4 linked regions of the Arabidopsis thaliana genome follow. The protein of the gene in region 1 interacts with the protein of each later gene in a pairwise test. Each region holds a gene or a part of one and is shown in the gene's direction. Other genes may lie near its edges. The genes, in order: RGS1, SRS6, APX6 and AT3G62920.

The links.
Region 2: the proteins of RGS1 (region 1) and SRS6 interact in a two-hybrid assay, tested with the Arabidopsis thaliana proteins (one large-scale study listed by BioGRID).
Region 3: the proteins of RGS1 (region 1) and APX6 interact in a two-hybrid assay, tested with the Arabidopsis thaliana proteins (one large-scale study listed by BioGRID).
Region 4: the proteins of RGS1 (region 1) and AT3G62920 interact in a two-hybrid assay, tested with the Arabidopsis thaliana proteins (one large-scale study listed by BioGRID).

Annotation. Positions count from the first base shown.
Region 1 is NC_003074.8:9,529,720-9,536,907, forward strand, and holds RGS1 (REGULATOR OF G-PROTEIN SIGNALING 1), read left to right. Parts: upstream 1-2,893; 5' UTR 2,894-3,163; coding exon 3,164-3,243; intron 3,244-3,679; coding exon 3,680-3,800; intron 3,801-3,895; coding exon 3,896-3,959; intron 3,960-4,040; coding exon 4,041-4,125; intron 4,126-4,229; coding exon 4,230-4,303; intron 4,304-4,397; coding exon 4,398-4,678; intron 4,679-4,763; coding exon 4,764-5,002; intron 5,003-5,079; coding exon 5,080-5,204; intron 5,205-5,293; coding exon 5,294-5,415; coding exon of another isoform or gene 5,416-5,424; exon of another isoform or gene 5,425-5,440; intron 5,441-5,502; coding exon 5,503-5,691; 3' UTR 5,692-5,910; downstream 5,911-7,188. Other genes in the region: AT3G26080 (plastid-lipid associated protein PAP / fibrillin family protein), read left to right, coding at 275-349, 455-685; AT3G26085 (CAAX amino terminal protease family protein), read left to right, coding at 1,123-1,192, 1,283-1,665, 1,742-1,802, 1,898-2,022, 2,104-2,166, 2,251-2,375, 2,537-2,678.
Region 2 is NC_003074.8:20,145,154-20,150,846, reverse strand, and holds SRS6 (SHI-related sequence 6), read left to right. Parts: upstream 1-2,625; 5' UTR 2,626-2,995; coding exon 2,996-3,341; exon of another isoform or gene 3,342-3,417; coding exon 3,418-3,623; 3' UTR 3,624-3,812; coding exon of another isoform or gene 3,813-4,219; 3' UTR 4,220-4,221; downstream 4,222-5,693. Other genes in the region: AT3G54440 (glycoside hydrolase family 2 protein), read left to right, coding at 289-344, 421-720, 826-948, 1,361-2,032, 2,183-2,353; EP3 (homolog of carrot EP3-3 chitinase), read right to left, coding at 3,813-4,219, 4,498-4,912; AT3G54410 (hypothetical protein (DUF1163)), read right to left, coding at 5,612-5,693. UniProt on the Arabidopsis thaliana protein: Transcription activator that binds DNA on 5'-ACTCTAC-3' and promotes auxin homeostasis-regulating gene expression (e.g. YUC genes), as well as genes affecting stamen development, cell expansion and timing of flowering.
Region 3 is NC_003075.7:15,600,192-15,606,856, forward strand, and holds APX6 (ascorbate peroxidase 6), read left to right. Parts: upstream 1-2,529; 5' UTR 2,530-2,585; coding exon 2,586-2,769; intron 2,770-2,857; coding exon 2,858-2,960; intron 2,961-3,068; coding exon 3,069-3,184; intron 3,185-3,705; coding exon 3,706-3,776; intron 3,777-3,934; coding exon 3,935-3,977; intron 3,978-4,063; coding exon 4,064-4,160; intron 4,161-4,253; coding exon 4,254-4,337; intron 4,338-4,416; coding exon 4,417-4,538; intron 4,539-4,678; coding exon 4,679-4,745; intron 4,746-4,940; coding exon 4,941-5,043; 3' UTR 5,044-5,209; downstream 5,210-6,665. Other genes in the region: SD2-5 (S-domain-2 5), read left to right, coding at 1-2,244. UniProt on the Arabidopsis thaliana protein: Plays a key role in hydrogen peroxide removal.
Region 4 is NC_003074.8:23,257,909-23,262,748, forward strand, and holds AT3G62920 (zinc metalloproteinase aureolysin), read left to right. Parts: upstream 1-2,688; 5' UTR 2,689-2,808; coding exon 2,809-2,858; intron 2,859-3,070; coding exon 3,071-3,263; 3' UTR 3,264-3,389; downstream 3,390-4,840. Other genes in the region: APG3 (Peptide chain release factor 1), read right to left, coding at 1-4, 80-127, 225-282, 381-513, 591-663, 764-928, 1,053-1,118, 1,329-1,378 and 6 more; AT3G62930 (Thioredoxin superfamily protein), read right to left, coding at 3,630-3,938.

The DNA of each region.
Region 1 (7,188 bases):
CCATTTTCACAAGTAGGTTTTGCGATTTTGCGTTGTGTTAGACCATATACAAAGCTCTTTTCTCTGTGATGTTGAAACCTATTGATGTGATCCATTGCTATATAATATTCAAAATGTACGAAAGTTTGAGACTTTGTCACATATATGTATGATCATGTTCCATTGTGACTCACTAGGCAAGAACAAAGGAGGACTAATACCAAAGTTTTTATCATCAATATTCTTTCAGCAGAGTTTGTAAAATGAGACTTAGCAAACTACAATGTTTTCATAGGTAACTGGAGACTTGACACCCCTCAACTCGAAGACGGTTGCTGTGAAACTTCAAGTGTTTAAAATTCTCGGCTTTGTAAGTATTACCAAAACTCTTGCTGTTATAAGGGAAACTGGTAGTACTGACTCATACATACACCATATGCTTCTTTTACTGATCATTAGTGTTTGCTGTGTGCAGATTCCGGTAAAAGCACCTGATGGTACTGCACGCGGTGAACTAGAGATTACCTATGTGGACGAGGAACTACGGTCAGTAGTGAATGATAGTTTTTCATTTCTCTATGGAACTGACAACCAAAAACATTTGAATCTTGAAACAATGTTCATTTTTTACAGGATATCAAGGGGCAAAGGCAACTTGTTGTTTATATTGAAGATGTTTGATCCCACTTATCGAATCCCTCTCTGATCTATCGAAAAAAATAGTTTCGAGCTATCATACATACTTAAAATCGCTTGTTCTGTCTCTCTATTCATCATGTATGTAAAAATCTAATAAGAGAGAATAAAAAGAGACTAGCTTTTGTCAATGATTCAACTTGTTTTGATCGACATTGCACCACATTAGATTAAAAAAGCTCTAAACTTTGAATTCGGTACAGAAAATCAGAAAAGGACTCATGTCCTCTTCTTTTGAAATATGTTACAATAAAAATTTGGTTTCATTTCTTCTTCTTTCTTGGTGCGTTTTCTCTGATAAACGACGCCGTATGAAGCTGGCGAGACACAGACCTCTCATTTCGACGCTTTCTTCTTCGTGAAACTCTTCATTTGTTTTATATTGGAAACAGAGTCTCTCTTATGAATCAAAGCGACAAACTTTGAGAAGGCAGGCGAAAATCTCGGATGGGTTCCATCGCTCTGCAATCTTGGAGCAGAGGAGCTTCAACTTCTCTTCATCTCCTTTTTCGTCCAGGTAGGTAAGTGCGATTCCTAACTTGATATGATCATATATATGAGAATTCGACAAAGATTTTTGGTTGAAATTTGCTTACTTGATGATCAGTTGGCTCGAACCCTAAGCTATATGATGCTCGAAGAGTACAAGTAAGATTCTTTAATGTTGCCGCTTCTTGGTCCGAACAGATGATCTCTTATACTATAGTCTGTTTATTTTGTCTTTTGGGTTTTAAGTTTGATGTAAGAGCCTCTTCAAGTCGTAAATCACTTAAGAAACTCAAAAGAGAGTCACAACAAGGTAAAGACATAGGCTTAAGAAATGTTACAGATGAAGAAGTTTCTTCTCCAAGATTTGAGGAAGCTCAAGTTGATTCTTCAACTTCAAAGGACTCCATTGATGTTTTTGTTGCTGCTCCTCGAGACAAAGTGCTTCAGGCTTGCACTGTAACTTCCGGTTTGATGGCTGCACTAGGTCTGATCATCAGAAAGGTGAATCCCAAATCTGAAAGTTTATGATTTTGTGATTCTAGCATTTGTATCTTGCTGATTTGGTTACCGCTTGCAGGCGTCTCATGTTGCTTCGACTGAAGGATTACTGGTTCCAGACTGCTCTATAGATGTACCATGTAACATCTCGGAAAACGATTATGTTGTGTACTAAGAATCCTTTGAGAGATTCAGTAACCAAAACATGTTTTGTATTGCATGATCTTTCTTGCAGTTGGGTTTGAAACTTGGCATCTCGGTTTAATTGCTGGAATCGTTGTGTTTATATCGTCAAGTAGGTTCTTGCTACTTAAATCTTGGCCAGATTTTGCTGATTCTAGTGAAGCAGCAAACCGACAGGTCAAAACATTACACATTATATACATTTATACGATTCTTTAAACTCCGCTTATTGTCTCCTTTGGTATTCACTACTTGCAGATTCTCACTTCCCTCGAACCTCTAGATTACCTTGTTGTTGCAATGTTACCGGGAATAAGTGAGGTAACAATAAACAATCACAATAAAACACAGAAAGGCTCTCCTTTAGAAAATGTCGTTCATTGGTTTGATTTGGTGTATTCACAGGAGCTGCTGTTTAGAGGTGCATTAATGCCTTTGTTCGGAACTAATTGGAATGGTATTGTAGCGGTTGGCCTCATTTTCGGTTTACTTCATCTCGGGAGCGGAAGAAAGTATTCTTTTGCAGTTTGGTAAGCCGTTTTTACTGAACATTTTGGTACCTCAATGCTGATGAGAATTGCGTAGACCGAATCTTGATATTAGATGATTGCCTTTAACATGTTCTTGCATCTCTCTATCACATTTCCGAGGTTTTCCTATTGAATTCTTTGCGGTTTCTTGAAATTTTCAGGGCTTCGATTGTCGGTATAGTCTACGGTTATGCAGCTGTTTTGTCGTCGAGTCTTATCGTTCCAATGGCCTCGCACGCACTCAACAATTTGGTGGGAGGTCTGTTGTGGCGATATAGTTCCAAGATCAAGTCATTGGAGTGAAATAAACAAAATTTACAACAGGGTTGAATTAAAAAAGTATACAATTTTAATGGGTGGGTTTGTGAAATCTCTCAATAGTATAGGGTGGTTATGTCAAAAATCTATAATAGAGGGTGGTTATTGTAATTTTAATGTACCAACTTGTCACAAAGGACAAGTATGAAAAATCTATAATTATAGAAGTGAAAAGTGAAAAACCAATCAGAATTGTTACCGGAAAAAGGAAGTGTCTTCTGGTCAAAAAAGTCAGAGAAGAAGAGAGAAACGTGAACAATGAAGAGACAGAGACGTCTCTTCTCTTATGCGAAAGTGTGAATCTTTTAAAGCTTTTTGTTTCAACATCGATAAATGAAGTTTCTTTTATTGAATTTATAGAAATTTGCACACTTTACCTTGACATTAAAGCAACAAGCTTTGAAACCAAATAAAATCTCAAAAACCCAGAAAGCGAGTGGAGAAGAGAGAGCTGATATGCTACAATAGAAATGGCGAGTGGATGTGCTCTACATGGTGGTTGTCCCAGCGATTACGTCGCCGTCGCAATTTCAGTCATCTGCTTCTTCGTGTATGTGTTCGAGCTTAAAAATCCCATTTTTGGGTTTTAGTTTTGAAGATCTAGATTTTTCATTTACTGGGTTTGCTTGTTGACTCTTGACTTGAGTCAAAATCTCGAATTTTGTGTCTTTAATCGTTTAAAATTTTCATACGATGTCTCTCTTTGCTATTTTAACTCTTTGTATTGTAAGTGTTTGATGTTATGTATCAAAAGATCTGTCTTTTGTTTCGTTTCAGTTTCTTTTAGCTGGGAATTAGATGGTTTCAGTATCTTGATAGCAAGATTCATATATTATGTCGGAATCGATTATTGAACTTAGATTTGAAGTTCAAAAGCTTGATTTAATGGACTAATTGAGTGGATTTGTATCATGAGTTAACTTCCAAGTAGTTCAATTTCTCTATTAAGTTGATTCTATCTGATGGATTTCACTTTGTTTATTTAGGCTGTTATCGCGCTCAGTGTTACCGTGTTTGATTCATAAGGCTCCTCGTACTAACAGTAGCAGTTTCTGGATCCCTGTTATTCAAGTTATCTCCAGCTTCAACCTTCTCTTCTCAATTATGGTTAGACTACTTGACTTGATGATTCCGTTGCTCTTAAGAATCACTTCATTTGTTGAGTTTCTACACTAATAGACTGTTTTATATTTAATTTTCAGATGTCAGTTAATTTGCTTCGATTCAGGACGAAACATTGGTGGCGATATTGCTATCTTTGGGCAGGTTTGTTTGGAAACCATGATTCCTCATCTTCGTAAACAAATTGACAGTTATATCAATAAGTCTTGTATAATTTGGTTTCAGTGTGGATTGAAGGACCACTTGGGTTTGGTTTGTTGATGAGCTGCCGTATAACTCAGGCATTTCAACTATACTTCATATTTGTCAAGTGAGGTTCAATGTTGATCAAAATGTTTTTGGATTCCAATTCTATCTCTATTGGTGTAATTGAGTTTAATGCTGTTTGGTTGTTACATATTCTTTGCAATGTAGGAAACGTCTACCTCCGGTAAAATCATACATTTTCCTCCCCCTTGTTTTGTTGCCATGGATCTTCGGAGCTGCAAGTAAGAATTGTTCTGAACGTTATATGTACTGAGCAGTTCTTGGTTTCTCTTGTTTTGGATAATAATAACTCAAAGCTTTTGATTTTGCATTTAGTTATCCACGCAACAAAGCCTCTCAACGATAAATGCCACATGGGTCTTCAATGGACTTTCCCAGTTGCAGGCCTTCATGCTCTCTATGTCCTTGCTTTAATTGCATTCACAAGAGCAGTTCGACATGTAGAGTTTCGTTTTGACGAGCTTAGAGATCTCTGGAAAGGAATTCTCGTCTCAGCCACTTCAATCGTTATATGGGTAACAGCGTTTGTGTTGAATGAGATTCATGAAGAAATCTCTTGGCTTCAGGTTGCTTCAAGATTTGTGCTTTTAGTCACGGTATGAAAGCTAATACCAGGACTGTTCTTTATATTTGCAGTTGGAATACCTTTTTAACAGACTTCTGAGTTGATTCTTCTTTCAGGGTGGGATTCTCGTCGTTGTCTTCTTTTCCATCTCGAGTAACCAACCTCTTCTTTCACAAATCAGCTTGAAGAAAAGACAAAACTTTGAGTTTCAAAGAATGGGTCAAGCTCTAGGCATTCCCGATAGCGGATTATTATTTCGGAAGGAGGAGTTTCGACCTGTTGACCCAAACGAGCCACTCGATAAGCTTCTTCTCAATAAAAGATTTCGCCATTCGTTTATGGAATTTGCTGATAGGTACTCCATTCAATACCTGACCTCATATATATCCCGGTTTCACCATTTATTTAAACTAATTCGTTATATGCTGGTAGCTGCTACGCTGGAGAAACATTGCATTTTTTTGAAGAGGTGTATGAACATGGTAAAATCCCGGAAGATGATTCGATAAGAAGAATCTACATGGCTCGACATATCATGGAGAAGTTCATCGTCGCAGGTTAATTACATATCCATCTTCCCTCTTCTTTATAGACCTGTCTCGTGTGTTCTCTCTATAAATCTAACTAGTAATTCCTTAAAACACAGGAGCGGAAATGGAATTGAACTTATCTCATAAAACCCGACAAGAGATCTTAACCACTCAAGATCTAACTCACACTGATCTCTTCAAGAACGCATTAAACGAAGTCATGCAATTGATCAAGATGGTAAAATAACATCTCTCTTTCACTCTCTTACGCACGCCTTCAAGCTATTCTCTTGATTCTCATTTTTTTGTGCTCATGAATTTGAAGAACTTGGTAAGAGATTACTGGTCATCCATCTACTTCATCAAGTTCAAAGAAGAAGAAAGCTGCCACGAGGCAATGCATAAGGAAGGATACAGTTTTTCATCTCCAAGACTGAGTTCAGTTCAAGGCTCTGATGATCCTTTCTATCAAGAACATATGTCAAAGAGTTCCAGATGCAGTAGTCCCGGTTAAGGAGTCTAAAACTGGTACTAGACCAGAACCCAAACCAATGTTCATAGCAATCCAATCCATGTAATCTTCCTTCACATTTCTTGTACATGTCATTTTCTCTCTTGTTATACCTAACTGTAAGAGAAAATGTCCGGTTCGGATTTTGGTTTAGTTTTAAATGTGTATACCGGACAAAAACTATGGAACCATACTAATTAATATCTCGAAGAATTTATACGTATATGCCATCTGTTTCACCAAGAATAAAAAAGCACCTGCAGATTGATCTTCATGTCCTTGCAGAGTGATGATGTTGCATCACATGTTTCATGATGTGATGACATATCCATTGGCCTCGCTAAGGCTTTTCATCAACATTTTGACATAATGTTTTTTTCCACCACTATATTTTGACGTGTACAACATCTATAACGAGAAGGTGGGATGGTCATCAAATATTTCAATTTTAGAATATAATTTGTTACTGAAAAGAGAAAGTTGAAGAATTTTTTAGGTTTATCATATGATTAAATGATATTAAAAGTTTTAAATATCTATAAAATATAAAATTAAATATTGTTGAGCAGCAATAAAATGTCTTTAGGTAAGTTTTTAAAAAAAAAAATCATCTGTTACCATTTAAGCTCTAAATTATTCAGTAAAATTCTGCAAGAAATGTCAATTAAACCCTAAATTCAGTAACTTAGCCAGATTTATTCTGCTGTTAACATATAAAAATTAAATGTTCAAAAAATAAAACTTATATGTGTAGGTAAGAAGTCTTGTCAGCGAATGAAAAAAAAGTTTAAATTAATGTTTCATTATTATGGTGAATCTTTCCCAAATATTAGTGGTTCTCATCTCACCATAAATAAATATTATTTCCCAAAGAAGTTTTTTTTATTTTATTTTTGGCTGTCTACCATATGGTTTTGGTATATATATGGGTAGCAATTATTGGGTGTTGTCGATGTTCTCTCCAAGATAGTTTATAAAACTAAAAGGAATCTTTATCAGTTTATCTTTCACCAAATTAGTTAATTTCAATATATTTTTTTGGTTAAATTGTTTAGCTTATGGGGAATTCTCTAAATAGTAATTACATCTATTTTCTGTTCCAAGACTATTATGAATAAATTTTCGAAAATGCTACAAATTAGTTGTGATAATGTTATTTCCTTTTCATTCTTATATCTCAATCTTAATATCTTCATTCTATCTTTGTTTAAAACTCAAACTAAAATGAAAACTCTATAACATCTAGACATGAAAACTCTCACTAAAATGAATTTAACAAAATTTACTTCTATTTTCGGTGAAAATAATACTCCTTATAAACATGAAAAAGAATGAGGATGTCATCATAGTGGATAACTATGTAAGGACTCATGAGTAATATAATCAAATTATTAGCAGATATTAATAAACTACTATAAAGATCCGTTGGATAGATAGATAGATAACTTGTTCTACCACTCAAACCAAGTTTTGGATGCACACGTCTATATACACACATAA
Region 2 (5,693 bases), about 11 Mb from region 1:
AAGAGAACCGATAACCTCCAACGCTCTCTCTCTACCCTGGATGAGAATCACAGACGAAATCTCATCCTTACTTATGCCAGTACCTAATAAAAAGTATTCTAGTTAAAAAAAAAAACTAGTCAAGAAATGGAAATTCTAAATATTTTCCTAAATCAAGAAATTGAAGTTAAGGAACATAAATCTAAAAAGTATCACATATGTTTCCCTTTTTCTGACTACTTGACCATGATACATGTTCAAATGGCACTAATTTTCTTCTGTTTGCACCATGTCTTTGCGTTGTTTAAGAGGTTAAGCATTGTTACCAACCAATCAAGGTTTCATTGACGGATGGCATGATAAAGGTACAATTTAATATACATCAACTCAGTTGGCTTTGGTTTTAATACCATCTATGTAGCTCAAACTTTATCTTTGCAGGTTGCAAACACTTACTTTTTCAACACAACAGAAGAATTGGAGTTTAGCTGGACAATTCATGGGGATGGTCTTGAACTTGGATCTGGGACTCTCTCTATTCCTGTGATAAAGCCACAAAATAGTTTTGAGATGGAGTGGAAGTCAGGTCCATGGTTTTCTTTCTGGAATGACTCAAATGCTGGAGAATTGTTTCTGACAATAAATGCCAAGCTTTTAAATCTTACTCGTTCGCTTGAAGCCGGTCATCTTTTGTCTTCAACGCAGATTCCTTTACCAGCAAAGGGACAAATAATACCGCAGGTATTTCCCACATCCTCTACAAGTCATATTTCTTTTGGAAAGATCTCTCGTCGTTCTGCTAGAAAATATGAATTCCTGACAATTGTAAGTAACCTCCTACTCTAGGCGATAAAAAAGACAGACACTAGTATCACTTGTGAAACTGTTGGAGATTTCATTAAGATCAGCCAGAAAGATTCATGGGAGCTAATGGTAAATGTCCGAAAAGGGACTATTGAAGGTTGGAAGGTAAGTTCTTTTCTGTTTTATTTCTTGATTGCGAAGCTCTAAAACAATTTCGTAATGCATAAAAATTATAGGGAAGAAGTCTTACATATTGTAGGCATATAGGTTAGTTACTCAAGTAAACGATCCTGTTGGGATCTAAAGTTTGATATAACCGGTTGTAACCACTTTCCTGATTTATATTAACGCATTGGGGGTATACTGAGTACATAGTTGTTGCAAAGAAAATACTACCATAGGAAAAAGGTATATAACTAGCTAGGCAATGAAAGAGAAAAGTGCAAAACATAAAACTAAAAAATAGATTCGATATTGAAGATCTTTTCTTGGTTGATGTTTTAGTGAAAGTAATGCGTACACTTTTTCATCTTGAGTGAGAATGTTTCTGTTCTTAAGATCATTTCAAAAATGACAGATTCAAGGAGTTCTCCTTATGAACGAAGCTATACTGCCATGCTTTTGGCGAGCACCTACAGACAATGATAAAGGTGGAGGTGACTCTAGTTATTTTTCGAGGTGGAAAGCGGCACAGTTAGATAATGTGGAGTTCCTTGTTGAAAGCTGTTCAGTAAAGAGCATCACTGATAAATCCGTAGAGATAGAGTTCATTTACCTTGGTTCTTCAGCTTCTGGCTCTTCAAAGTCAGATGCCTTATTCAAAGTCAATGTGACATATCTGATCTATGGTTCCGGAGATATCATCACCAATTGGTTTGTAGAACCAAACTCTGATCTTCCACCGCTACCACGTGTAGGTATAGAATTCCACATTGAAAAAACACTGGACCGTGTAGAATGGTATGGCAAAGGTCCATTTGAGTGTTACCCAGACCGAAAAGCAGCAGCCCATGTGGCGATATATGAACACAATGTTGGAGACATGCATGTCCCTTATATTGTTCCAGGAGAAAATGGAGGTAGAACAGATGTTAGGTGGGTAACATTCCGAAACAAAGATGGTGTAGGAATATATGCTTCAACATATGGTAGCTCTTCTCTAATGCAAATGAATGCTAGTTATTATACAACCGGTGAGCTTCACCGTGCAACGCATGAAGAGGATCTTATCAAAGGACAAAACATCGAGGTAGTAATCTATTGTCTTTTCCTCAATCTCTTGATCCTCTTGACCAGATATATTTGAATTCAAGAATGGAAACGACTTATCAAACACCTGAGCATCAGTTGTCATTTTGTTAGTTAAGTCTTTGTCATTTGAATGGTGATCATTGTGCAGGTGCATCTGGACCACAAACACATGGGTCTTGGGGGAGATGATAGCTGGACTCCATGTGTTCACGATAAGTTTCTGATTCCGCCTGCACAGTATTCGTTTTCTCTCAGGCTATGCCCAATTACTGCATCCACCTCGGGTTTGAACATCTACAAGGATCAACTCCCCTGCTAGAAATCTGTTCTTGCATATAAGTTGAATGCTATAAACAACTAGACTTAGTGAGTCTTGCAATGTTTCTAAGTTTGATTTCTCAAATGAAAAAAAAAAAACCTAATAAACTAAAACATTCGATTCAAAATCTTCTTGTGATATAGCCTCTGTTCTAGTGTAGTTGTTACAAGCAATCCATACCAAATAAACCTCTTAAGAAATCTATCCCATCAAAGCTTAAGCACATAGAGAGGAGACCCACAAAGTGGGATATAAAGCCGTTTTAGACGGGTGCTTTCCCAATGAAGTGGACCACTCCACTTGGAAAGATAATTATTTCATTTTCTGCAGAACATTTTTAACCATTACATGTGACCACAAAACTCTGTCAAAACCCCAAATATTAAAAAACTTATGTTTATTGCTCTCTCTCTCTGTTTCTCACTACTCTTACTAGACTCCTCCATAGCTAAGCTCCACCTACTAGATTAGCCTCCACGCGCTTTTATTATTACTACTGCCACAGTGGCAAATCCACCTTCTTCCCTCTCATGGCCACCACAACCATCATCATCTTCAACACCTTTCGCCGCCGTCTCAATCCCACCTGATCACTCTTCCTCCTCCGTCGCCGCCGTTGGAATCAGTACTACTCCAGACTACATGTTAGGTCTTCGAAACATCATTCTCTTATCTCCACCACCGACGCAGATAACACGGCCATCTCTTCCTCCGGTAAACTTCGCGGCGGTGGAAGACAACAACACAGTTGGAGAGAAAGTATGCAGAGACTGTGGAAACAGAGCAAAGAAAGAGTGTTTGTTCGAAAGATGTAGAACTTGTTGTAAAAGCAGAGGATACAACTGTGTCACTCACGTGAAGAGCACGTGGATTCCTTCTTCTGCAACTCGTTCTTCATCTTCTCCTTCTGAGAGGAAGAAGAAGCTCAAAATCGATAAACAGAGTTCCCCTAATGTCTCGCTACTTCCGACAACCACTTCTCGTCAAGGTAATGAATCTTGGAACTAGAATTGAACAAAACCTTTTTTAATCTGAATTTTGCGTTTTTGTGTGGAAAATTGCAGAGAGAGGCTTCAGAGAGGGGTTACCGGGGAAAATTGAAGCTCCGGCGGTTTTTAAACGGACGAGAGTAACAGCGATAAGCAACAACGAGCAAGCAGAGATTGGTTATCAAGCAACAGTAACTATAAGTGGTCATATCTTCAAAGGCTTTCTTCATTACTATGGTGTTGATCATAACAAAGCTTTTCCATGTCTTTCTCAAAAATGATGGAAACTACTTCATAGGATTCTGTGTATAAAGTTTCTCTGTTTTCATCTCAAAGTTTTTGTCTTTTTTTAACTAAGTGGATTTTATATATATTCGACATTAAGGGACAAAACATTAATGGGCCATTCCATTCTTAAAGCTTGTCTATTTTTACTTTTATATATGTATACAGAGAAATAGATGTTTTTGTTAGCAAGTGAGGTTGTTTCCAGGATCAACGCCAAGTTGACGACAATAATCCGTGTAGTAACGAACTCTAGCTTGAACGGTGGCTGTGTTGGCCCCGTCACACTCCAAAGCACCGTTAATGGCACGGATTGTTGCACCAAAACCTTGAGAGATAACAGGCTGAACCCTATTGGTCCAGTACCACAAGGCGGTTTTGAAGGATATGACTGGATCCGTGGCTACTGTTTCCGGTGCATTCAGGCCGTCGAAACCAATTGCTGTCCCGGCTGGCCCGTAGTTGAAATTCCAAGAGAGTTGGATCGGTCCGCGGCCGTAGTAGCCTTTGTTAGGATTGCATGGATATTGTGTTGCATTCTCGTCGCAGTAATCCTTTGAGGCTCCGTCTATCTCTTCTATGTAGCAGAAATCTAAAACAAAAACCGAAATTATTAGATCGAATGCTGCAACATATTCAAAGTATTTCTAGTCAAGTTTCTATGATTTTGAAAAGTGATTATGCTATATGCGTTTGATGAAAAGATATTACTAATCTAGTAAAACATGTTATTTAGTCTAATGATTTTTAGAAAACAAAAACAAGTTCTAACGTTTTCATATTTTGTTTTTGTTTGGTATTTAATAGAGAACATGCATGTATGCATCATAAGAAAAGAGTAAAGTGAAACATGTTACTATATATACTTACGTCCTGTTTCATGTGTGACATGAGCAAAGAACGCTGCAATCTCACGCCTAGAGTCGTCGGTCGATCCAACTCTACCGAAACGAGAATATGAGTCTAAGGCCTCAAGAAAAGCTCCCCGACTGTAAAATCTATTGCCGGCGCAACTAGACGCGGCTTGACTGATGATTCCATTGAAGAATTCTTGCGTTACAATCTCAGCCACAGAGACACCATTTGCAGGGGGAGGAGCAAAACAAGGTCCTTGTTGGCAACCTACACCACAATAGTCTGAAGTGTTACCGCAAAAGCCAAACTGACTACAACATAGCTCTGACGAACAACCGCAATTTTGAGCCTTTGTTGTGTTAGAGAAAGCTTGTAGAACTAATAGAATGGTTACTAAAGAGATGGATTTAGAAATGGTGGGAGTCAACATTTTGATGTTGTTGAGGAATATGGAGAAAACAAGAACTAGTCTTGAAATGAAGACAATTGTGTTTTGCCTAAATATAGTGCGTGAGACGGCATGCAAGAAAAGTCGCAATGTAAATGTGTGGACGCGATCAAGCCACTACTATTGTATATTCTTCATAAAGTTACGAGAAAAGTCGTCTCTTAGACGATCGAGATGTTTGCGGACTTTTAATTGTACAGTTGACTTTTTATTTGATGACTATACAAAAGCTTATTCAGTTCACATTTATTAAAGGAATTTTCTGAATTATGACTTATGATCGTTGTGAAGAGTACGTGGATAAACATTTAATGACACAAACATTTTTTTACGTTTGTTGATGTAATGTAATTATGTAAACACAAACATTTTACCTACATTAGAATTTCTATTTCAAAAGAGAAGTAAGGCAAGTCATATTTTTATAAGTTCAATTTAATTATGATAATTCCTTTATTATATCATGCATGTCGTACAAAATACACCAAAGTCTAAACATTACATCTTCATTAAGTCCTGACAAATATTAAACAGTTATACAATAAACTTTAGACCCTAAATAAAGTCGAACCAAATCTAAAGTCATTTACAAATAAACTAAATCTCTAATTCAATAAAGCCCTTAAGTAATGTCAAATCTTTGCAAACTCTAACATTATACTGGTGTTGACGTGGACTTGGTCAGAAATTTGTGTACCTTGGATGCTTTCCAAACACAGACGCCTTCATCTCAGATCCGGGTTCGAACCTCAAGGTGACTCCA
Region 3 (6,665 bases), on another chromosome or scaffold:
CACAAGAGCAGCACGAAACTGATCTGGTCCGCGAACAGAGCTTCCCCTGTTTCCAATTCCGACAAGTTTGTGTTCGATGACAACGGAAATGTGGTGATGGAAGGAACTGAGGTTTGGAGATTGGATAATTCAGGCAAAAACGCTTCAAGAATCGAGCTGCGTGACTCCGGGAATCTCGTTGTTGTTTCCGTTGACGGAACTTCGATCTGGGAGAGTTTTGATCATCCGACAGATACTCTGATCACGAATCAAGCTTTCAAAGAAGGCATGAAGCTCACTAGCAGTCCTTCTTCGAGCAACATGACTTATGCCCTTGAGATCAAATCAGGAGATATGGTTTTATCTGTTAACAGCTTAACCCCTCAAGTGTATTGGTCAATGGCAAATGCCAGAGAGAGGATCATCAACAAAGATGGCGGCGTAGTGACTTCATCGTCTCTCCTTGGGAATTCATGGCGGTTCTTTGATCAGAAACAGGTTTTGTTGTGGCAGTTTGTATTCTCAGACAATAAAGATGATAACACAACTTGGATCGCTGTTTTGGGAAACAACGGTGTGATCTCTTTTTCTAATCTTGGAAGCGGAGCATCTGCTGCCGATTCTTCGACTAAAATACCTAGCGATCTGTGCGGAACACCTGAGCCTTGCGGGCCTTACTATGTCTGCTCGGGTTCTAAAGTGTGTGGATGTGTGTCCGGGTTGTCTCGGGCTCGGTCTGATTGCAAAACCGGGATTACTTCTCCCTGTAAGAAAACCAAGGATAATGCAACATTGCCTTTGCAGCTAGTAAGTGCTGGAGACGGTGTAGACTATTTCGCTCTTGGGTATGCTCCTCCGTTCTCCAAGAAAACTGATCTTGATAGCTGTAAAGAGTTCTGCCACAACAATTGCTCGTGCCTTGGTCTTTTCTTCCAGAACAGTTCTGGTAATTGCTTCTTGTTTGATTATATTGGAAGCTTTAAAACCTCTGGCAATGGAGGCTCTGGGTTTGTGTCTTACATCAAGATCGCAAGTACTGGTTCTGGAGGTGGAGATAACGGAGAAGATGATGGGAAACATTTTCCTTATGTAGTGATTATTGTCGTGGTAACAGTTTTTATCATCGCTGTTTTGATCTTTGTGGCCTTCCGGATTCATAAGAGAAAGAAAATGATTTTGGAGGCTCCTCAAGAGAGTTCAGAAGAAGATAACTTCTTGGAGAACTTATCCGGGATGCCTATTCGGTTCGCTTACAAAGATCTTCAGTCAGCGACGAATAACTTCTCGGTGAAGTTAGGTCAAGGAGGGTTTGGATCGGTCTATGAAGGTACTTTACCAGATGGTTCTCGTCTAGCTGTGAAGAAACTTGAAGGAATCGGTCAAGGGAAGAAAGAATTCAGAGCCGAGGTTAGTATAATCGGAAGTATTCATCATCTGCACTTGGTGCGGCTAAGAGGATTCTGCGCAGAAGGGGCTCATAGGCTGCTCGCATACGAGTTCTTATCCAAAGGTTCGTTGGAGAGATGGATATTTAGGAAAAAGGATGGCGATGTTCTTCTAGATTGGGACACAAGATTTAACATAGCACTCGGAACAGCCAAAGGTTTAGCGTATCTACATGAAGATTGTGATGCAAGGATTGTTCACTGCGATATAAAACCCGAGAACATCCTATTAGACGATAACTTCAATGCCAAGGTATCCGATTTCGGACTGGCGAAGCTCATGACCCGCGAACAAAGCCATGTCTTCACAACAATGCGCGGGACAAGAGGCTACTTGGCTCCAGAATGGATCACAAACTATGCGATATCAGAGAAGAGTGATGTTTACAGCTACGGAATGGTGTTGCTAGAGTTAATAGGAGGAAGAAAGAACTATGATCCATCAGAAACTTCGGAGAAATGCCATTTTCCTTCTTTTGCTTTCAAGAAGATGGAAGAAGGGAAGCTTATGGATATTGTCGATGGGAAGATGAAGAATGTTGATGTGACTGACGAAAGGGTTCAAAGGGCTATGAAAACCGCACTTTGGTGTATACAAGAAGATATGCAAACGAGACCCTCGATGAGCAAAGTTGTTCAAATGCTTGAAGGTGTTTTTCCGGTGGTCCAGCCACCTAGTTCTTCCACTATGGGATCGAGACTTTACTCAAGCTTCTTTAAGTCCATCAGCGAGGACGGCGGTGCTACTACGTCATCTGGACCGTCCGATTGTAACAGTGAGAATTATCTCTCCGCCGTGAGACTCTCCGGTCCGAGATAGCAATCTTTTTAGCCAATTTTTAGTATCTTATATAATAGGTTTTTGGCTCACCATGTTTTGTTGTATATTGTTTTTGTGTTACATCTTAAAAGAATAGCCATCACTCAGTTTTGTAACGTTCCGAGATCAATTATTTCATAGATTACCCGTCGTTTTTCTTAACTGTCACAGAACTCCATGTCGTTTTACATTCGGAATGCGTGCCGTGGTCTTCCTTCTCTCTATCCTACGTTCCTATTGGCTATAATGTTTTGCTTACTGTACGCTTGTGGGTAGACAATGAAACTCCCGGTTCATAAATTTGAGCTAGGGTCTCGGAGACTCTCGTCCCACCGTTAAAGATGACGACGACGACTGCTTCTCTGGTTAAGACTTTTCTGTTTCGGTGCGACTCGTTTTCATCTTTCAAATTCAAATGCAAATTCGAATCTCCCGCGAAAACGCGATTGCTCTCTCCGGCGACCGAGAAACATGTTGTCAGATCGTCAAGAGCCTGGCGTATTCGTTGCTTATCCGATGATCCTGGTAAGACCGGATTCTGGTTTCGTTGGCCATTGCTATTTTACTGTTTTCGTTTTCTTCGACTTGTCCTGGCTAATTGCATAATTTGTAGGTTCGAGTCATGTTTTCGTTGCAAGTAGAAGGAAAATGGTAGTCTTGTTGTCGACGGTGCAGCTTCTGTCTCATATGCTTCCGCAAAACGGGAACGCAGCTGAGTGAGTTTGAACAAATCCTTAATTTTGTGTAATTGACTCTGAATTTGGTTTTTGTTCAAATTATAGTTTTCCAATTTTTTTGTACTAAATTGATAGTTGGATTTTCAGGATTTATCCGGTGATGCAAAACGAAATAAGGAAAGTGGTGACAAAGGGCAAGGCTGCTGGTGTGCTTCGTTTAGTGTTTCATGATGCTGGAACCTTTGAACTGGACGATCATTCTGGTAACTTTCCATGACTCTTATGTATTCTGTAATCATCAGAATTTTACTTTCAAGTATAGTATATCTGACTCGTTTGTCAAGTTGCTATTTTGTATAAGTTAGATTGTTTCCTTCATTGTAAACTCAACATAGGTGAACATGGATATAGATTTGAAAGTTCCTTTATTTGTTCACTGGTTGGTGATAGACAAGTTTGCAAATGTAAAAATTGTTTGTTAGATTTATGTTTAGAATGGAATCTGTGAATTTTTGGATGTTTTGGGTAGCTTGTGAATGTTTATTGGCTTAGTTTAATAGACTATCAAGTATTGTGAGAACTGGTTTGTTCAGTGGCTCTCTCAGGATGTTCTTATCATTTTACAATTTAATATACCTCAGTTTTGGCTTTGATGAACCAAGCTTGGTTGGTTTAGGTTCAGGTCTTTGCGATTTAGTATACTTCTGCTGGTATTTTCCTTTGTTCTCATTGAAAGATACTGTAACTATGTCTTAGTTCTTCTTGGTAATGAATTCAATTGCAGGTGGCATCAACGGATCTATTGCTTATGAACTTGAGAGACCTGAGAACATAGGTTTGAAGAAATCCTTAAAGGCACTAAATCCCTCTCTTTTATCTGTTGGCGTGAGCTAATAAGGATGTAATTTTCGCATCTATTTTAACTGCTCTTTTTTGTGTCTATTTGCACTTGTTTATCAGATTTGTCTTATTTTCAAATAAGTAATCTTCGTAGAAAATGGATTCTTTGTTAGGTTCTAGCGAAAGCAAAGGTTAAGGTTGACGAGATACAACCAGGTAAATTACTATTTGAACTGTGTGCACCAAAGAAACGTGTTCTGTTATGCGCCTTTGTGCTAATTTCACATTTTATGTGATCTCAGTGTCTTGGGCGGATATGATCTCTGTCGCTGGGTCTGAAGCAGTTTCAATATGTGGCGGCCCAACAATTCCAGTAGTTTTGGGAAGACTTGATTCAGCGTAAGCACAACATAAACGGTTTTTAATCCTATTGGATAGATCTCTGGTCACTGTTTCTATACTTTTAACAGGGTGATTGTTTCATGTTCACAGGCAACCTGATCCAGAAGGCAAGCTACCTCCAGAAACCCTGAGTGCCTCGGGATTGAAAGAATGCTTCAAAAGAAAAGGATTTTCGTGAGTCCTTAGCTGAGAATTGTTTCACAATGTATGTGTATGAGTAACTTAACATCACTGGGTTTGTGTGCCATTCCAGGACCCAGGAGCTTGTTGCCTTATCTGGGGCACATACGATTGGGAGTAAAGGCTTTGGAGATCCGACAGTTTTTGACAATGCATACTACAAAATCCTTCTTGAAAAACCATGGACGTCAACTTGTAAGTCTCATAAGTCATAACAAGGTTCTTAAGTTCTTTTACTCATAGAGTTTCAGTTTTCTACCATTCCTCCCTATGTTCTGAAGATTGATTGTAAGACTGAGATTGTATATTTACTTAGTTTTCTTACAATGCTGTAGCTAAGATGACGAGCATGGTCGGGCTTCCTTCGGATCATGCTTTAGTGCAGGATGATGAGTGCTTAAGGTTTCTCATCTACTCAAAGTTCTTACCTTATCATTTCATCACCTATTTTTCTCTCAAGTACCATTCAAAGTAGATGAACACTTAGAGAGTATAGGATCATTGGCAAGACTGTAAACTGTTGATCACTGTTCTTGCCATTTGAGTAATCTGGATAACTATTCAACTGATATAGATTCGTGGTTTGATGATGCACAGGTGGGTGAAACGGTATGCAGAAGACCAAGACAAGTTCTTCGAAGACTTCACAAATGCTTATATCAAACTAGTAAATTCTGGGGCCAAATGGAATATGTTATGATATCTAATCTAGTTTTATATTTTGTTAGCTCATAAGTGTTTCAAACATGCCCGAATAATTTGGGTAGTAATGCTTATTTGCTAATAAGTAAAAATTTCGCTGCTTACTAGTTTACTACTACGAAACTAAACATAAAAGATACTCAAACTTGACACCAACTTACTTCTATGCCACACCGAATAATAAATTCGGTGTTTGATTTGACTTTACAAAACTAAAACGATGACGATTCTAGTCTTCAGTGTTTGAATTTTATTCAGCAGTCGGACGTTTTGACTTTTAACGAGACGCTAAAACCGCTACGATTTATGTCGTTTAAGCAGTTATTTATAAGTTAGGTCGAGTAGATTTTACAATTTATGTTTTGTTCATGTAGTAATTAGACACGAAGAAAAGGAATAGGTCATGTACGAATCGTCGTAGGTAGATGTAGTTTTTATAGGAATATGCCGTTTCTATGTCAAAAGAGATATTAACATGTGTGTTTTGTCTAACAACCTATTTTTTTTGGCTACTAGTCATTATCTCTTATTATTTAAAATACATCGTGATCAAAGAGTAGTACAATCGCATTCAATTGGATAAGATAAAATTTGATATGTGAATGGTGAAGCGAATCTTCCAACAAGGATACACACCGACCAACATAAAAGCAAAATCTATAATAAAAACTGCTACCATACTTCACAATGTATAGAAATCCAAGTCTCAAGGTGTTGCGACTATTGCCATACCACGTTGAGATACTACTACTACTACATGTATGCGAAAGTTCCAAAAAATAAAATAATGGAAAAATGAACAATTAAGAATTGATACTCAAAAAGATTCATGGAATTAAAAAAAAAAAAATTGATCTGAAAAAATTCATTGATAACTAAAGTAGTATAATCATTTTACAATACTTATTTGTTATTAAAACTATAATTCTAATTAACAATTTACTAATTTAAATTATTTATGAAAACATTATTAGGATATATCAGTTTTATGAAAAAAGGTTTTCCAATTGTTAATCCCAATAATAAATCATTTAAAAAAATTTAGAAAGAAAATGCTGAGTTAGAAACAAAAGGAAAAGGAAGCACAAATGGAGTAAAAATGTATGAAAATAAAAAGATAAGATAATGAAATTTTGGGATTAGATAGAGATGATGGAGGGAGAAAGTTTTGAGAAGCAGCAAGAAAGGAAAGGTGTCACTGTTGTACTTGGTACCTCTATCTTACCCTAATCGCTGGACCAACTTGTCTCTTAATAAAAGTGGTTTTTGTGTCTAATCTGACTTTGCTTACTCTCTAATCACTCTATCTCTCTCAGTGCTAATCAAGATAATCATACCTTTTTTAGCTGTTACCACTTTTCTAGTAAAGGAAATTGTAGTTACTTCAATTATATAAATTTCAATAGAAAACCCATCAAACTTAACTAGTTGGGAACATGCATGGTAGGATACTTATTTTGTCTAATGCTTTGTATTTTACTTATATTTTACGGTTTATTACATATGGATACAATATTTTATAATTCAAATCAATGATGGATAGTATTAATATTTATAACAAGTTCATATACACATTCATGTACAGTTATGGTGTTATCACACAACCGAACTGAGTAGTTT
Region 4 (4,840 bases), about 14 Mb from region 1:
TGTCCTGTAATTTTCAGACATCATAAGCAAAACAGAATCCATCAAGTTTTCAAAGCAAGGCTCTGGATCCGTGTATTACCTTATAATTGTATGTTCTTATCTTTTCTGAACGAGCTCCAGTCCCAACCTGTTTCCGCAAGAATCGACATAGAGCAGAATAAGATGAATATTTGATGATGACCTTGAGTTTAGAAAGACTATGGGGATAATAAAATGAAGTGGACCTGAGATTTCCTTTCATTCCTTATCTTCTCTTGTTGTTCCCTTACTTTTATTTCATACCTATATATAGACATATAATGTTTCAACAAAAAAAGACTAAGGTGGGACTTGATAGAGGAGAAGAAGAGTAGAGAGTTTGCTCCTTGAATGTTGCTTACAGTTTTGCTCGCAGAAGCTGGAAAGCACGCGCCTTATTCCTAATCTGGGTCCTTTCTTCTGTACAGAAAATGCGAATACCTGACGGTTTGTGGAATAGATCTATAGCCGTCTCCACCTTGTTCACATTTTGGCCTGCACCAAGACCTCTTTTCAGTATTATTAGCAAGTGAAATGTGAGAGAAACAGAAAGCGAATTTCTTTAGCATAACCTCCAGCGCCGCCAGATCTTGCAGATGTAAGTTCAATGTCCTTTGGGTCAATCACCACTTCCACTTCATCAGCCTAAAATGACAAAAAAAACAAAGCAGAGATGACAGTTTTGGACTGGTTACCAATTATCAATCAGAATATCGAAAAATGGAACATGCGAAAGCTAGTTTACCTCTGGCATGATGGCTACAGTTGCTGTAGAAGTGTGTACACGACCCTGTGTTTCTGTTTGAGGAACACGCTGGACTCGATGAACACCAGATTCATACTTGAGCTTGCTATAGACACGATTTCCTTTAATCTCCATCACACACGTCTTGTAACCTCCATGTTCAGCCTTATAAAAGTAGGAAGATTAAAAAGCTATACTGGTGAGAACATGTCTCTAAGTTGTTATGCTCTACTGCCATTTTCATTACACACTCCTTAAATGCCAAAACAAAACACAGAGAGCATCTCACCTCTGAGCATGAAACCATTGAAAACTTCCAAGAGCTGCGCTCGCTGTACCTCTGATACATCCGCACCTGCAAGCAAAAGAATAATGCAAAGCATACTGATTCATGGTAGGATCTGAAGTTTTTAATTATTGCACTTGCTTCTCTTAGCCATGAAATATAGGAACAATAAAATTTGAAAGTTTTTTAAGAAATAAGACTGAAACAAAACGGTGAACTATCGGAAGGCATTAAAATCAGATAGAGGATCAGAAGAAATCAAGGAAAGCATGTACCTACAAGGTCACCAGTCCAAATTGCAGCTTCATCGCCACCAGTTCCTGCTCTAACTGCGGAAGGAACTAAGATTTCAGACTCGTCCAGAGGTAGATAGGTAAAACAATGGCGGGAAGTCCGAGCAAAAGGCAGTTTTTCAAGAAAAAAGGCCAGTGTAGACAAATGATACTACTTGTCGACATATAGTTTAGTCAGTTACCTTCAAGCAAAATGTTTCTGGCATCAAGAGGATCGGAAGGAAGAAGTAACACCTGACACAAGCCAACACAATGTTACGAGTTGAGTATCAGAATCAAATTTTTAAAATGAGCAACATTCGATTTTCAGCTGCCGAATAAGTCAGCTATGGAACCAAGGCTCTAAACCTTAAGTTGTTTTTCAAGCTCCTCAATTTCTTTAGTGAGCGAGTTGATTTCACTTCCTATCATTTCAGCCATATCTTCATCATCTCCAGCCTCTTTCGCCAAAACTGAAGCAATAAACCAATCAGTAAATCATAACCAGCTTCCGAGGAACAGAATCAAAGCAAAGTAAAAGAAAGGAGGAGACTTGAAGGGACCTTTGCTTTCTAGTAACTGCTTCTCACAGTCCTTGAATCTTCTGAAGACTGTTACAACCTAAAATTGAATTCAATGTTAAGAAACCCCGAAAAAAGCTGCAAATTTTGAACACTAAAAGAATGTGCAAATACCTCGTCAAGCTCCGACATGGATTGTGCCAGTTTTTGGTATTCAGATTGATTCGAAACAACATCTGGGTCAGCTAGTTTCACCTACAAATCATTCAAAACTCTTAAGAATGAGATTAAGAAACAAACCTTAACCATTAATGGAATAAGTGTAGGAACAAACCGATAACTCCTTCCATGTCTTCTCAACAGACTCCATTTTCCTAATGAGGTAAGGTTCCTAAATGTTTCAACAGACAAAATCATCGAACAATTCTGAAACTTTTGAAAAAAAAATCCAACATTGGGAGAACTAGAATCACTTACGGCCATACAAACGAGTCGTCGAGTCCTGCGAGACCGAGAAGGCGGCCACGAGACTAGACAAACTCCAGACGGTGACTTTCTCGAACGTAAAGTGAATGGTGACGAGTGAAGATGAAGGAAGGCTCGAGCCGTTGGACTCGTCGTCATCGAGCTATTCATTGTCTAGACTCTAGAGAGAGAGGTGGAAGAAGACGAGTGGCGCGGGAGTTGCTGGATAAGGAAGCCTAGTTTAGATGATGAGACGTGTTTGGCTATTAGGACAAAACTATCCTCGCCAATTATAGAAGAAACCCTTTTATTTATTGGGCCTTTAGCCCATACTAATTTACATTCTCGGTTACACGGTGTAACTTACACCTGCTAGTAACTCTATGGGCCTATGGCCCAATATATGTGAAGTCAAAACTGATTCGTCGCGAAGTTGAGTTTTTGTTAAATAATAAATCAATTGAATCGCGGTACTCAATTTCTTCTCTTCCTCCGGCGACGATGTCGATTTACAGGATCGCTAGAGCTTTACCCTTCTCCGGGATCTTAAGGTTTCTCCATTGTTTTCTTCTCTTCATTGTATTACTGCGTTACTATTGAAGAATTGACTGATAAAAAGAATTCAATTTGTATCCAATCTAGAGCTTTTTAGGTTGGTTAATGCTTGCATCGTATTTCTCCGTATGACAAGAGATTACACAATAAAAGATTTGTTTTTTGTGTGTGTGTTTATGTTGAAATTCTAAGGTTTCATTTTGTACAGGCAGCTTGAGAAAGAAGCTGAAACTGTGATCAATGTTCTGCAACCTGGACCTTTGGGAATCATAGAGCACAAGTTCTCGGCTCAAGAGATTCGGGAAGCAAAAGCTACAGTTTCTAGAGCTGTTGATAGTTGGCGAAGACATTCTGAGGTCGAGCATGCAAATGGCCTTTTAAAAGATTACATTTACAAGTGAAGAAGTTAGTGAAAATCTCTACTTTTGTTTGTTTCTTCTTTTCTCATGGCTGATGATAAATAAAAGGCCTTTCATTTTGTTGAACAATCTTTAGGTATCAATGGAAAAGCAAATCTTTCTCTTTTATTGCTTATTAGTCTTCTTAGCTTATATTGGTTGATTTAACAAGTATGGTAACTGAGAATACAAAGTTCTTGATCTTAATTAGCTCTAGAGTTGTGTAAACTATAGTGTTGCACTTGTTGAAAACATATCCGTGCATGGTAGATACTCGAAACCCCGAAAATTAAAGAAGAAGCAAAACAACGATATGTATCATTCTCATCTTATTCTATCCTAGTTTGCATTTGACTCTCTTGTCTTCTGTTACACCCATATGGCTCCGGCTCTTCTTAGCATTGCGGCTAGCTGGTTCTTGACCTGAAGAGTCATTACTTGGTTAGCACCACCGATGAATTGTTGCCCTATGAACACAGCTGGTACACTGGGTTTACACCCCATCTGTACCAATGCCTTCTCGATCTCCTGACCGTTTGAGAATTGGTCTAGCTCGTAGACCGTCATCTTTGCCCCAAACCCTGAGATCAGTGTTTGAATTGAGTGGCTCATGCAGCAAGAGCTTTTGCTGAATATCACCACTGGTTTGTCTTCAACTAAACTTCTAACGCTTTCCATTTCTATGTATATAAATGTGATACAAATGTAGTGTGACTATGTGAGTGGGAACTCAAGGATCTTTATGTTTGTTTTTGCTTTGATGCTATACAAATTACAAAGTAGGCCTATTTATAGAGTTGGATACGTGGAGGATGGTAACGTTGCATAAATCAGATCTTTGTCACTACTTTACTTCCATACTAGTGATGTGCCCTTTGGCGTTCTCTAAAAACTGCATGAACATCAGAACCAAGTTGCATATACAGTTCATGTAAACTTTTCTTTTCTAATTACGGAAATATCCTTGTCATATGGTTTGTAATGATCCACGGATCCAGGGAGGTATGCAACAGTGTGATCATGTCTACTCTATGGTGCTTTTCTTTTTTTGGCAAAATCTTTTGCTTTTGATGCATCCACTGAGGTGGAGATTGGATTATGGTTTATCCAGTTAGATGCTTATCTTTTCAAGCAACAATAGATTCCCCACAAGTTTCAGGCTCTAAAGAAACGGAAAGCAAGAAAAACAAACAAAAAGAGGATCGTCTTTGAGATACTTTTCTGCTTGTGTGACCTGGAGTCTAGAGAGCAAGTAAGTGATCCAACACAGTTCTTACTTTAGCTTTTACACTTTGTCAAAACCATTTTCAAGTTTTTTTATCTAAATGTGAGAGTTGTTGGTCTTGACTCTTAAGAGTCTTTGTAGTTGTTGTTGCATTGAACACGAGAAAGAGAATCCATGTTCATTGCATTTTCAACTTTCCAAAAATACAAAATTTTAGCAGATTTAAACAGGAAAGCATGATTCTGACACCAGATTTGGAAATCTACAGAAATGAAGAATCTTTGGCAGATTCGTGATAAGGCCATGTGTCAATTGAATTAGCAAAATTTATGGGTGATAATAAGCATAGATTCGT